Linked DNA regions of Elephas maximus indicus. The protein of the gene in region 1 binds, or shares a complex with, the protein of each later gene. Links are inferred from orthologs where the notes say so. Each region holds a gene or a part of one and is shown in the gene's direction. Other genes may lie near its edges.

What was found. Proteins that work in one complex are often made in the same cells at the same time.
Region 2: SNRPD1 (region 1) and GEMIN4 share a complex: the UniProt entries of both Homo sapiens proteins name them as parts of the SMN-Sm complex. The link is inferred for Elephas maximus indicus from reciprocal best matches to the Homo sapiens genes SNRPD1 and GEMIN4.

Annotation. Positions count from the first base shown.
Region 1 is NC_064829.1:27,456,464-27,463,755, forward strand, and holds the start of SNRPD1 (small nuclear ribonucleoprotein Sm D1), read left to right. Parts: upstream 1-4,187; 5' UTR 4,188-4,331; coding exon 4,332-4,345; intron 4,346-7,292. UniProt on the Homo sapiens protein: Plays a role in pre-mRNA splicing as a core component of the spliceosomal U1, U2, U4 and U5 small nuclear ribonucleoproteins (snRNPs), the building blocks of the spliceosome.
Region 2 is NC_064837.1:20,925,880-20,933,339, reverse strand, and holds the start of GEMIN4 (gem-associated protein 4), read left to right. Parts: upstream 1-4,394; 5' UTR 4,395-4,447; coding exon 4,448-4,457; intron 4,458-6,341; coding exon 6,342-7,460. Other genes in the region: diazepam-binding inhibitor-like 5, read right to left, coding at 3,049-3,312. UniProt on the Homo sapiens protein: The SMN complex catalyzes the assembly of small nuclear ribonucleoproteins (snRNPs), the building blocks of the spliceosome, and thereby plays an important role in the splicing of cellular pre-mRNAs.

The DNA of each region.
Region 1 (7,292 bases):
AACTCGAATTCTGGCATTAAAAAAAAAAAAATTCTGGCATACACACATAAAATTATAGTACAAGCTTCCATTCCCACAAAACAGGCCTCTGCTTCTAAGTGATCTATTTCACTGTATTTGTTGTATTGGTCACAATTAGGAGTATAATTTTACAAATGTCAGACCACATGAAAGTAGATGTACTGATTTTTGGTACAGAAGTAAATCATATTTAATGTATAATTCATTTCTAATTTATTCTAGATTTTCTTTTCAAAAATTATTTCTTAAACATGCTATGAAAGTATAAAGTCATTCACTTTTATGGGAAAATAAGCTTTCTTAGACATTATTCTTTATCATTTTGAAGTATATTTTCACTTCTGATTCATTAGCTCTCAATTTGTAGTTTGATTAACTCAATTATTCTGAAATATCATATTGGCAAAATTTGTTTTGCCTTCTATCAGTGGTTCTCTTTTAAAACAATCTATGAGCTTTGGAATTTGGTGCATTTAATTTAGTTGTGCACTACAAAATAATCATGATCAGCCAAATAAATTTCTCCCCTGACTGAGTTTTCAGTTTTTTCTAAGAAATAGTAAAGAATTTGGGTTTTTGCAAATGATGATCAATGAGAAGCCTAGCATTGAACTGAACTGATGGAGGAATGTAGGTCACAATTGAAATATAGAAATACAAGTTTTGGGTTCAGAAGGGGCCTGGGACTAGCAAGAGATAGTTTCTCAGACAACTATAAGAAAATATTCAACTTAAAGGAAGAAGTGTTTGGTAATCCAAAGAAAATGTTAGCTGGGTCTCTCTTAGTTCAAAAATAACTGAAAACCACCTCGAACTAATATAGAGGAAAAAAAGAAATTTATTGCTACTGTAAGTACAAACTGCAGGGGAACCGCTGACCTCAGGACATCCTGAAACCTGAGGTTCAGGTGATGTCAACAGGACAATGTCTCTCCAACTCTCAGCTCTTCTTTCATCTGTACTGGCTTCATTCTCAACCAAGCTCTCCCAACAACATGGCAAAGACTATGTTGAGCTCACAGCAAACTGATTCCAGTAAAGAGAGAGGTCCTTATGCCTGTGAGCTCCAGAGAAAGTCCTAGGGGAGAGCTGTGATTGGTTCAGCTTTTGCCATGTGCCCATGCTAGAAACAAACACTGTGCTTAGATATACAGAACTTAGATGGTTATCTAAATGGTGAAGGGTTTTTTTTCACAACATGTACACCAAGATTTGCAAGCTTCTGCCCTAAGCTCTGTTCCTAAATTCAAAACAGTAAACGTACTTTCTTGGACTTGTTTGGAGCCCTGGCGGTGCAGTGGTTAAGAGCTTGGCTGCTAACCAAAAGGCAAGCAGTGCTCCTTGGAAACCCTATGAGGCAGTTCTACTCTGTCCTATAGGGTCGCTGAGTCAGAATCAGCTCGAAGGCAACAGGTCTTATGCATGTGATTTTTGTTGTTGTTTTTTCAGGCGGGGGGCTTGTTTAAATTGTCCATTTTCCTTGCTGGCTCAGAATTGCCGATTGTACTTTTCTGGACTCGCTTATCGTTAATTAGGGCATCTACTTCTAAAAACTGGTAATGCAATAGTTGTCTTGCCCCACATACCACATTCTCATTTCCTTGTTTCTTGTGACTAATCTAAATGCCTGTAACATATGTAAAACCTCTGCTAATTTCCAGAAGACAGGGCAGTCTCATTTTCAAACTGACCATCCTGCTAGCAGCAAATAAAGGCTTTATCTTTGTTGCTCCACTTTTGTGAATTTTATTTCAGTACTCTTTTGACAGTTTTGTACTTATAAGAGTAAAAATTCTAACATTTCAAGCTAGAAAACAAAAACAAAAAGTATAGCAATTTACAGGAAACTTATGGGGCAATGGGTTTATGTTAATGAAGAAGAACAATTCAGAAAATGAGGGCAAAAATGGTTGTGCAACTTGAAGAATGTAATCAGTGTCACTGAATTGTACACGTAGAAATTGTTGAATTGGTGTGTGCACAGATGTGTATGTTCTCAACAACAAAAAATAAAATAAATTAAAAAATTATAGCAATTTGGTATAAACCAACTGACAATGCCATTTCAATTTGCCCTCCTCTGGAAGCCCCACCACTATTAGATACAAGAAATAATTCCCCACTTACTTGACAGGAGATGAGTAGGTATTAGCCAGATCAAAAAAAATGCATGTACAAAATCTGGAGAGGAAAATGAGCTTGATGAGTTCCAATAACTCAAATATTCTAATGCTATTGAGAGGAAATGGATTAAGAGGTAGTCAAAGCCCAAATTAGGAAGCGCTTGAGGACAATACCAGTAAGTACCCAGGGAGAAAGGTGTAGCAGTCTGCTACCATAAAGATTTCAGCCTTGGAAATTCCATGGGGAAGTTCTACTCTGTCCTGCAGGGTCGCTATGAGTCAGAATCACCTCGACAACAACTGGTTTGGTTTGGTTTGGCTCAGCACTAGGGATGCTGCAATCAACAACACACACAAGGTCTCTTCTTGGAGGAGCATACATTCTAATGGAAAAGACAAGCCATTATTTCACAAATATTGATTGAGGGCACATTATGTGCAAGGCACTATTCTAAGTGCTAAGGATGCTACAGTGAACAGAACAAATACAAATGCCCTTTCACAGTTGACACTCTTGTGTCAGACAGTAAATAAGTTATCAAATAAATGCTAAGAAGGAAACAAATATGGTAATAAATAGAGCAGCAGTGTCCAACAAAACTTTCTGCAATGAAAGAAATGCTCCATATCTTTTTTGTCCAAAAGAGTAGCCACAGCCACATATAGCTATTGAACACTTGAAATGTGGCTATTGCAACTGAAGAGCTGAATTTTTAATCTAACTTCATTTTAATTTAAATTCCACACTCAGGCACAGCTTGATCCAGCAGCTCATTACTATCACCATGGGTTTTTGTCTGTTTATTAACTCTCCGTCCTGAGACTCTTTATTCTCATAGTACTAAGGCAAGTCCCAACACAACAACCGAACGAAAACTTTCATTTTAAAATTTTCCCCAATGAGTCCTATGAACATTAAAGTTTGATGAATATTGTTGCGTCATAACATCCTAGAATTCTGGTGATCAGGGATTAAGTTCATGCTGGAGATACAAATTAAAGCCATGGTTTGGAGGAGATTACCTACCTACAGGAGAAAGTATTCATACAAAGATTACCGTTTAGGGTACGTTGAGAAAGGAGTGTTTCAAAAGGAAGTGCTTATGTTGAACACTGATGAGATGCTGAGTACCACAAAGATAGAAAAGTTTGTCTTGGAGGTTTCTGATCCCCTTTGAAAAGCAACGTCAGTGAAGTAGTTTGCAAAGTGACCTAGAAGTGATGAAACAAGTAGAGATAGCTCATTCAAGAAGTTTTCCTGTTAAAAAATGGGGCAGTAGCTAGGGCTGAAGCAGAGAGAACTTGGCTTTGTTTTTAAGGTAAATTTGAATGCTGATGGGAAAAAAATCAGTAAAATAGGAGAAAGAGTAGAGTTAGAGAGAAATAACTGAAGGAACGAAATTCTTGAGAAATTGAGAGATGGGATCCAAACTACTAAGAAAAGGAGTTTGTCTTTGAAAGGAGCGACATTACTTTTAGCCTTGTAAAAGGAGAGAAGGCAAAAGGATGGCATCTGTTTTCTGAACGTGTGAAATATTAGTAGAAAGATTTGGTAGTGAGACTGTAGAAAGTTTGAGGGGGACAGAAGGTATGAAAGAGTTGGTGAGCTTACTAGAAAAGAGTAACAGTCTTTCTGGGCAATGTAAGGTGCCCATCTGAGGTTTATGATCAGAACTTAAATGCAAATAATAAGTTAAATTGGGAGATTTTCTTCAGGTAGGTTAGGCAATGGTGAGGTAGGTTCTGGGTGCTCTGTCGATCTAGAGTTAGAATAATCTTTTGGGCTTCTCTTAGAACTTCCCTTTATTCGGGGGGATATTCGGAGGGGTGTAATGCACGGTGCCTTGCCGCGAGAAAACGTGATGGCGACAGGCCTCCGAACTGGATTTGATCTCCCCAAATTTTCCTCTTGCTGGAAATTTCCTCCCAGACCAGCCCTAGCCGCCCTCAGCAGTCGCAAGGCACACCTCCAGGCACCAGGGGGTGCAGTCGTGCTCCTCACGGCCGGAAGAGAGCCGGATCAGCTCAACCTCTACGTTTCCGCCGTGCGTTCGCAGGGCTCCGCGCGCTCTTTACGTCCGGAGCCCCGGGAGTAGGAGTTTCCGGCCATTCATACCCCCGTTCGGTCGGGACTCTGTTCTCTGGTCTTGTGCGCTATCGGGCCGAAAGAGTGACGGCGCCGCTAGGATGAAGCTCGTGAGGTGAGAAGGCTACGAAGCGGCGTGCGGGTTGTGAAGGGAGGGTTTGGGCCGGAGTTGGGAGACTGGCTTCCCCAGCTGCAGGAGGCGCGAAAGCCGCGTGCGCGCGCGCGGCCTGGTAACGGCCTCCGGCGCCAGCCGCTCCCGTCCGGGTCTTGGCCGCGCGGGCGGTGCTGCGGGCCGGGCTTCAGACTGGGTCGCGAGGGATCGATCTGCTCTTCCAAAAGGTGGACGCAAAGGCGGGGACGTTTCTTCCCACTTAATGTCTTAAAGTCTTTCACGGTGCTTTCCCGGGTTTACGAGCTCTTTCGCCTAGTTACCGATACCGATTTTCTTTTCGAGGGGGAACTCGTGCTCTAGTCTAGGTTACTTTTCTGGCCCGTCTCAACTCCTGAGAACAGGCTACTATGAGTAGGTCCATGTGCCCTAAGGAGGCGGGAGCCATCGAGAAAAATTGTATGCCTTCCGTGAGAAGTTCTTTAAATGAATGCGTTTTTCGTGATCAAATTGTTATCGTCGGTTTAAATGAGTACTTAGAAGCAGCATGGCTTTATCTGGAAATATTGAAGTGTACTTCTAAAATATTTTAAATATATATATGTGTAGCTTTTTTGATATAGCTTAAGATATTGTTCAACCTACATTTTCTATAAGGTAGACTTTTAGGAAAATCTCCCAATATTCGTATTTGTGGCTAATTACACAGATAATAAGTTTTACTTCCATTTTTTCTCTTCTTTGACTTTATACTTTGTCCGTTAGCTGTGCCTACTGAAGACTTGTTTACCGGTTTGAGTACTTCATTCCATACTACCTGTAAATACATATGGTTTGGCTATTTTTCCTTTTAACTGATCTCGAAACAAAGGGGTAGAGGCTTCTACTAAGTGAGCGGTTATATTTAGTTAGTTTTTTTGTTGTTGTTCTGTTGAGTCAAGGATTGTTAATGTCAACGAAATTCTTACTATTGTTCACCTGTTATTCTGTGCGCTGGTAATAGAACCATTAAAAAAAAAAAAAAAACATCTCCACCTTGTTGGAGTGGTAAAGACAGACAAGTAGATACTTTCTGCTATGCATGAAATAATATAAAATTCTCAGTGTTTCTGTAGATCGCATGCATGGTTAATTTGTAGTCCATATTTATATGGAATGTAGCTTTGGAGAAAAACGGCTCAAATTTAAAGAATATTTTTGCAATTTCTGAATACCTTCCAGTCTATATCTATTTACAGTTAGGTTTTATGTAATATTCTTTGGATTCAGTTTGTCCTGTTTAAAGGCATTTCGTGTTGCGACAGAATTTTCTTGTAATTTTTAATGGCTGTAGTGAAACCAGAAGGTCAGTGGTTCAAACCCACCAGCCGCTCTGTTGGAGAAAGATGTGGCAGTCTGTTTCTGTACAGATTTATAGCCTTAGAAACCCTGTGGGGCAGTTTTACGGTGTCCTATAGGGTCACTATGAATCAAAATCAACTCAACAGTAGCGGATGATGTTAATGTACTGAAACCCATTCTGTGACTTCGGTAGAATATAGAAACAAAATTTCTTGCTGGAAAATGTGTTTTGCCTGGAGGAAATGATGTTTCACTGACTAGCTTGTGTTTTCATTTGGCTTTAATCCTGTGCCTAAGTCGGTGACACTATCGTTCATATCCTTACAGTCACTCTAACCAAAAACCTGGGAGTCTTGTCCCTGACTTCTTCCTCTCCCTGATAATCCTTACGTTTGAGAAATCACTAGATTTTGCCAATTATTCTTCACAGAAGTATCTCTACTGTCCAATTCTGTTTGGTTTTTGAGTTCAGATAGTGTGAGTTTGGATACTGAAGGAAACCATGTTATCTGGATCTCCTTGATTCTAAATTATGAATAGTAAGTAGAAAGATTTCAGGTAGTGAAATTTTCATCAGAAAATAATTTGAATTTATTTGACTCCTGGGCTCTGATAGAAAGGAATAACTCTCTATTTGCCCTCTCCACAATACCTTCTCTTTCATTCCAATCACCACAACTGAAGTGCAGGCTCTTTTTTTCTCCCCATAGACTCTCTTTTTTTTCCTCCTTCTGAGGTATATATTTCATACAATGACAGGAAAGAAAGAAAAGACCAAGATGGATGTCAGAGAACCCTCTGAAACTTACGAACATTGAGCAGCTAAAGTAAAAGGAAGAATTGATGAAGCAAAAGAACTGAACAGAAGATTTCAAAGCGTGACTCGAGAAGACAAAGTATTATAATGACATGTGCGAAGAGCTGGAGATAGAAAACCAAAAGGGAAGAACACGCTTGGTGTTTCTCAAGCTGAAAGAACTGAGGTAAAAATTCAAACCTCGAGTTGCAATAGTGAAGGATTCTATGGGAAGAATATTAAACGACGCAGGAGGCATCAAAAGAAGATGGAAGGAATATACAGAGTTATACCAAAAAGAATTAGTCGACGTTCAACCATTTCAAGAGGCAGCGTATGATCAGGAACTGATGGTACTGAAGGAAGAAGTCCAGGCTGCTCTGAAGGCATTGGCGAAAAACAAGGCTCCAGGAATTGACGGAATATCAGTTGAGATGTTTCAAGAAATGGATGCAGTGCTGGAGGTGCTCGCTCGTCTATGCCAAGAAACATGGAAGACAGCTTCCTGGCCAGCTAACTGGAAGAGATCCATATTTATGCCTATTCCCAAGAAAGGTGACCTAACTGAATGTGGAAATTACATAACAATATCATCAGTATCACATGCAAGCAATATTTTACAGAAGATCATTCAAAAACGGTGCAACACTATGTCGACAGGGAACTGCCAGACATTCAGAAGAGGACGTGGAACCAGGGATATTATTGCTGATGTCAGATGGATCCTGGCTGAAAGCAGAGATACCAGAAGGATGTTTACCTGTGTTTTATTGACTGTGCAAAGGCATTCGACTGTGTGGATCATAACAAATTATA
Region 2 (7,460 bases), on another chromosome or scaffold:
CTTTTATTTAGCTCGTTGCCCACCTTTTCTTCCCTTGTTGCAATCTTTAGTATTTTATTCTTCCTAAAACCATTTAGTGTACAGCTTGGGACTTTTACCAAAGAATCCAGAAGTTTGACTTCTGCACAGTTCGTCTGCTATTAAAGCAAAAGTTACAATTACTTTCCCACTTCTGGGGATGGTGTAATCAATTAGAAAAGGTTATAAGAAGATGGTTTTGCCCAGGCTACTGTTCTAAGCCGATGAAGTTGGAAAGCTCTTTTGTTTCTCTAGAGTTACATTTTCAGAGTAGTAATTTTGTTACTTTAATTGAGAGGTTTTGAAGTCCTAGTATATTAAGTGTAAGTTCAAGCGTGCCTTGAGTTGAAATCCAGAGATGTAGAACGGCAGTGGTGCAGGGGTTCTAGGGTGGCCTGAGAGAGTTAGCTGTCTGAAGGCCACGTCTGCCCGACAGCTTGGTAGAAGTGGCAAAGCCCATGGACATTCAGTGCGCCTTTCTGTGACACTTTTACCCATCTCTCCTGCCACACGTGCCATTGCGGTTTAACAGCCAGTTTTCAGGAGAGCTCCAGCCTGTCCACTGAAAGTGATGAGAGTTAATGGGAAGTTTCCCCATTTTGGTCTAAGATTTCTTACCGTTACCCTGTGAGAAATCAACAGGACATTTACTCTGACTTTAATGATCAGTTAAGGAAGTGACCTGACCTCAGATCTCTTTATTAGGTAATAGAGGCACGTGGTTCAAAAATCAAAACAATGTAAGAAGGTATACATTGAAAAGTCTTGCTCCTACCCATCCCCATTGACCCCATTTCCCCTGCCCCCATACCAAAAAACCAAACCGTTGCCATCGAGTCAGTTCCAACTCGTAATGACCCCCCGTAGGTAATCAAAATATATTCTAATTTCTCCACACAGAGAAGATTTAACATACTATGTATACTATACCTTGCCTTTTTTTTTTTTTTTTTTAAGTAATATATCCTAGAGATCTTGCCTCTCAGTATATAGAAAATTTCTTCTATGGAAATTGATGTCATATTTTACAAATGCAAGCTTCAGATGTTTCCAGTCTTGTTATTCAAACAAAGCTACAATGCTACAGTGAATAATTGTACACCTCTTTTCCTTACTGCTAATTGTGCTTTTCATATTAAAATTGTGTATTTTTCAAAATTGCTTTCTCACACACCCAATCTTAGAGGCCACTGCTTTTCCTTCTAGATTCAGATGGTCAACTCATTCATTTCTTCCATTCATCATCTGTGGAACTGAGACATCCTGGAATTATTTTCAATGCCTTCCACTTTGTGATAACTATCTAATTATCCCGAGATAGTAGTTAATCTGGTGGATATTGATAAACAAGATTTTGTTTTTAAAAGTGAAGAGGAGGGTACGTGAAGGACAGTTGCCTGAGGAGGATGGGTTAGGTTTTTGTTTTTAGGCATTCATTTTTATATAGTCATGGGATAAACCACAAGTGTTCTCTGCCCTCCTAATTATGGCAATTTTTTACTTTATCAGGTTTCATAATGATTTCCAGAATGGTACAGCTACAACAAGAGCTTCTAAATTGACACCATATTTTGTATTAAGAAGCTTATTATTATTTGATGTGACGCCTGTCCCTAACAGCATCAAATTGTATTCATAATTCCCCCAGAGAACAGCACTGCTGTTCTGCAGTGTGGCTCTTGCCCATTTACAGGCCATAAGAAGTAATTTTTTGGCCACTGTGGACTTCTGGGTGTACTTCATTCTTAGTTTACTTGTCTGTAGCAGCTTCCTGCAAATATATGGACAGAGATCTTGAAGATACCTGGTGACACTTGGTTTTCTTTGTTGCCTGAAGTCTTTATGGTGGTTGTTTCTATTGTGTAATGGTTCTCGTGAACTGGGGCTCACCTAATGTCATGATGTATAAAAACAGTTTTTGAGGGAAATCCCATGCCACAGCAGACCTGTTTATCCGAAATGTCTTTAATAATACCATTTAGTGCTCCATATGCCAGTCACTAGATACAGTGCTTTGTGCACTGATACCTCCATGATAATCACCAACAAGAGTAGGAAGTGAGGTCAAGCACTTTGGCCCTTGCACAGCAGTATGAGGGGTGTCTTGTGTCCTAAAACAAAGTCTACTTATACATGTTTTGTGTGCCGGTGAGTCGATTCCGACTCATAGCAGCCCTATAGGACAGAGTATAACTGCCCCATAGGGTTTCCAAGGCTGTAATAGTTATGGAAACAGACTGCCTCATCTTTATCCCAGGGAGAAACTGCCGATCGTTCCATTAGCAGCAGAGCAATTAACCACTGCACCACTAGGGTTCCTACTCATGCGTGCATAGCTGTCTTGTCCCACAAACATCCCCAAGCAGAAACCAGGGTTAGGGAGTAGTCCAAAGAAAGTTTAGGTTACTGGGTTTTAGATGAGGCTTCCAGAGGCTGGTGTTTTGAAACCATCTTCTCTAGTATTTCTCAACTGCTGTGTTGTGATGCATCAGTTACTTCACCACATTGTCACAAGGAGTTTGACTTCCCTCCAAACATTAACTTGATGGGATCTGTTCCAGTGGGGGCTTTGGGTAATGGGGACTTGACTCTAGGTTTTTGGAAGACAGCCCCATTCCCTTCCGTACTGTTGAGTTAGTAGTGGATCAACAACCCCTGGGAGAGAAGGAACCATCGAATTCCTGGAGAATGGCTTTACTGACCTCAAATTTTGTGCATTTTCGTTGTACTGCTCTTCCTCCCACCCCTCTATTCCTGCCAAATATCTGCATATGCTCTGGCAATAGTACGCAATTTTACCTAGAGAGATGTTTCTTATAAATTTTGGACACTTTCCCAGTCACTTGGAGTTTATCTCTTTCCCAACTGCAGACAATCGCTCTCATGCAGCTTAAGTCATTTATTGATGTCTCAGCTAAAATTGGTACCGCTTCAGGACATTTCAGCCATCGAGGTCTTTCCAGGTCTTAAGGAGTCCTTTCTCTACCAGAGGAACTGTGCTACTTTCTTCTGTCCGCCAATCTGACCTACCTAACCACCCTCCTTTTTCTTTAGCTCTTCCACTTTGGAAATATAGATCCTCATGGCATCCAACTTGGTCATCCCTTTGTTCTCGTTCCATGCCTCCCATTTGGCCTTGGCTTTCACATCTGTGGAGGGTGGGGCAGGGATGTTGCAGTCGCCCTGGGTGGCCTGTTTGTAGAAGCTGTATACCAAGAGTTTCTCTTGATCACTCACAGGACCCTTCAGCTCCTTGACAGCAGCACAAGCTAGCTCAAACTCCACTTGGCCCATTGGTGTAAGTAAGGCCGGGCCCCTCTGTCCTTTCTAGGTGGTATCTGGCGCTAGGAAATTCAGAGGGTAGAGAGAAACAACTTGAGGCTGATGATTAGCTCAAAGAAGAAGAGAGGGGAAAAGGGAGCCGGGGCGTGTGTGGGGAGAACACAGGATATTTCCATGTGTTTTCTCAGTGAAAAATCAAATGTGTGCCTTTATGAAGTACAGATTGCAAACTGGTGGCATGTTGGGTTGGATCCGCCCCACGTTTGTTTTTTTGTTTTGTTTTGGCTTGCACAGTCATTTTGCGGGGAGGACTACGCTTCCAATTTAGGCATCCGGACCTAAAATTGGAAACCCTGGTGGTGCAGTGGTTAAGAGCGAGGCTGCTGACCAAAAGGTCAGCAGTTCAAATCCACCAGGCCCTGCTTGGAAATCGTTATGGCGCAGTTCTCCTCTGCCCTATAGGGTCGCTATGAGTCGGAATCGACTCGACGGCAACGGGTTTGGTTTTGACGGGAGGCGGTGTGGGATGAGAAGCGCTGGGGGCCTATGTGTGTTTCTGAGACAGACGGGGAGACCTGCTCTGGGGCAGGAAGCCCCTCAGTGTGTTGTGTCTGTTTATGCGGGTTAGTGGGCAGCCTGCGGAGGGGCATTCCGTTTGGGTGAACTGTGTGTGGGGGTGAGTGTGGGGCCAGGGACGGGGCTAATGGGTAGGCCGACTGGTATTCAGGAAGCTGATCTGGGAATGGTACTGGGCGGATGGGTGGCTGAGTAGAGCCTTGAAAGGGAGCGCGGCCGGGGTTGGAGCCAAGGCCGGGGCGGGGACTAGAGAGCGGGAGGGCCGGGGCGGGGCACGCAGCCGCGGGAGGGAGGTGCAGGTACCTGCTGGTTGGCTGGCGGGAGGGCTCTGGCCGATAGGGGGCGCTGCGGGCTCGGCGCCGCGGGCTAGTTGGTAGGAGCTGCGCGTGCGCGCTGAGCGGCGGAGCGGGGCCGCGGTCCCGGAGGGAGCGAGTGTTGAGGCTGTGGGCGGGGACTGAGGCGCGGCCCATTGTACCTCCCCCTGCCCCGCCCATTGTGGCGTGGCGCCTGCGCCGCACTCGCCGCCTCTGAGGGGGAGGGGCGGCCCCACGCCGCCGGCAGCGCCGCCGCCATGGACCTAGGTGGGTGTCGCGGTCCCCGAGTCCCGGGCCAGCCCGGACCACGTCCCGCAACGGGGAACTAGAGCGGTTCTGCCCGGCCCTCCCACTCCCGCTGCGCACGCTCGGGAGGGCCCCGGCCAAAAAGCACCTCCCGGTCGGGCAGAGGTTTTGGCGGGCGGGGATGTCCTTGGAAACCCAGGATCCAGAGGCCGGGCTCTAGCCCCTGGCTGGCTGTTACTTGACCGCCTCTTGCCCTCTCCCGGCCCCTTTCCGGGTGAAAAGCCAGGCGGATGTGGAGTTAGGTTTTCTGAAAGTGGGAAGGGTTAGTGCACGTGGTTTGGAAAAGGCTGGCTCGGAGGCCCCGGGGAACTCAGGGGTGCCTTGAACTGGCACATTTATTGAACTAAGTTCTTGGGCAAGTTTCTTACCCTCATCAGGTTTCCTCATCGATGAAAATGGGGGCGATGATAATGTATCTACTTCATAGAGCTTTTGAGAGTTTTGAGTTCACGTGTATACAGACAGGGTCGGGTACAGCGCCTACCGCACAGCAAGCCCGTCGAATTTGTGGCGGTTGTTGGAGTGGTTGGAAACCCTGGTGGCTTAGTGGTTACGTTCTACGGCTGCCAACCAAAAGGTTGGTAGTTCAGATCCACCAGGTTCTTCTTGGAAACTCTATAGGGCAGTTCTACTCTCCTATAGCGTCGCTAGGAGTCAGAATCGACTCGATGGTAATAGGTTTGGTTTTGGGGTTTGGTGGGAATGATTGCAGCTGAGATGGTGCCTTTGAACCTGCGGGCATCTTGATTCAGAGTCCTCTTAGGCATGGTTGGAAAAACGGAGGGAGAAGTGTATATAAATTGCTCCCCCGTTCTGAAGCCTCCCACCTCGCTGGCTATGCTGTTAAGGGGGTGATACCCTAGTCAGCTATAGAGAAATGTCCTGGGCCCTGTCCCCTCAGCCCTCCAGTGGTAGAATGGCAGCGCTTGAAGGGTTTGGAGCCCTGCAGCTGTGGTGGTTTCTGTCCGAGTCCCACCACTTTGTAGTTGTGACACTCTGAGCATATTAAGTGTTCCTGGGCCTCAGTGTTCCCGTGTCTAAAACAGGAATCATGGTCCCCAGAAAGTTGTTTTGAAGATTAAAAGATCTATAGGGGCACTATGAGTCGGAATTGACTCGATGTCAGTGGTTGTTTTTTTTTTTTTTTTGGTATGTGTGCTTGGCACAGTGCCTGACATAGAGTAAGCAGTTAATAAACGGTGCGTACCCCCAAGTACCAGCTAGTCATAAAGCACTTGGAAGTTACCCAGCTATTAACTGCTTGGGGGCTTATTACTTCAAGTAGCACATGTACATACTGTTGTCTCTGGAAGGCAGGAGTGTTGGGAGCCAGACATCAGCTCTAAGTAAATTCAAAGAGCAATGAAATTAAATTTACAGAATCTTTGGGACCCTGGCGGAACATCCTGAGCCTTGGTTTCAGGGCTCCCCCCTGGTCAGACAGCTACCAAAGTCACATTTCAGTGCTGACTTTCTTCTTGAGCCTTAGACCTGCGTTTCCTGTTGCTGGAGGACACCTCTATCTTAACGTTTTACCTCAGACTTCAAATAACCAAAACCAAACTTGTCTTCTCCTCTGTTACCTGTTTCTAATGGTGCTCCTTGGCCTCCCAGTTCCCAGGCTAGAGAACCTGTGAGTCATTTTTTATTCCTCAGCTAAGTCTCACTCCAGCTCTGCAGTGGCTTTTGTAACTATCCCTCCTCTCCCCTTCTCACTGATCTCATCTAAAACCTTGTCCTCTCTAACCCTGATAGTGACAGCCAGCCTAAGTGCTGTCTCTCCCTCTAACTTCTGCTTACTTATTTAAAAATTTTCACCACTTTCTTTGGCTTCTTTCCACGCAGGCCCCTTGAACATCTGTGAAGAAATGACTATTCTGCATGGGGGCTTCTTGCTGGCCGAGCAGCTTTTCCGCCCCAAAGCACTGGCAGAATTGACCAAGTCTGACTGGGAACATGTTGGGCAGCCCATTGTGGAGGCCCTGAAAGAGATCTCGGCCACAGCGTGCTCCCAGCCCTTTGCCTGGAAGAAGAAAGCTCTGATCATTATCTGGGCCAAGGTTCTTCAGCCCTACCCTGCCACCCCTTCTGACACTGAAACCCGGTGGCAGGAGGATGTGTTTTTCTCAGTAGGCAACATGCTCCCCACTATCAATCACACAATCCTTTTTGAGCTGCTCAAGTCCCTGGAAGCTTCTGGACTCTTTATCCAGCTCCTGATGGCCCTGCCCACCACCATCTGCCGCGTAGAGCTAGAGCGCTTTTTGGAACACATGACTGTTAACACTTCTTCAAAGGATGTGGCCTTCTTCCTAGACATCTGGTGGGAAATGATGAAGCACAAGGGCAATCAGCAGGACCCTCTGCTCTCGCAGTTTAGGACAATGGCCCATAAGTATTTGTCTTCTTCAGATGACTTCTGCCATCCTCCAAAGAGGTTCAAGTCAGACCCAGATGTGTGTCCCACCATGCCCCTGTTGGCCATGCTGCTCAACGGGCTGAAGCAAATCCAGAATAAAATCCTGTGTCCTGGAATGAAGTGCTGCGCATTGGCCAACTTGGCCGACATGCTGACGGTGTTTGCCCTTGTGGAGGAGGACCCCCAGGAAGTGTCTGCCACCGTGTATCTGGACAAACTGGCAACCGTCATTTCCGTGTGGAATTCAGACACCCAGAAGCCATACCACCAACAGGCGCTGACAGAGAAGGTAAAGGAGGCAGAGCGGGATGTCAGCCTGAACTCGCTGGCCAGGCTCCCAACTGAGACGCTGTTTGTTGGGTTTGAGTACATGCTCAGCCTGCTGCGGGAGTGGGGAGAAGAGCTGCAGGCCATGCTCAACAGCAGCCAGGGGACAAGCTACGATAGCTACCGGCTGTGTGACAGTCTGACTTCCTTCAGCCAGAACTTGAAGCTCTACCTGGATACCACAACCTTGTCTAAGGAAGAGAGCGAGGTGGTCTCTG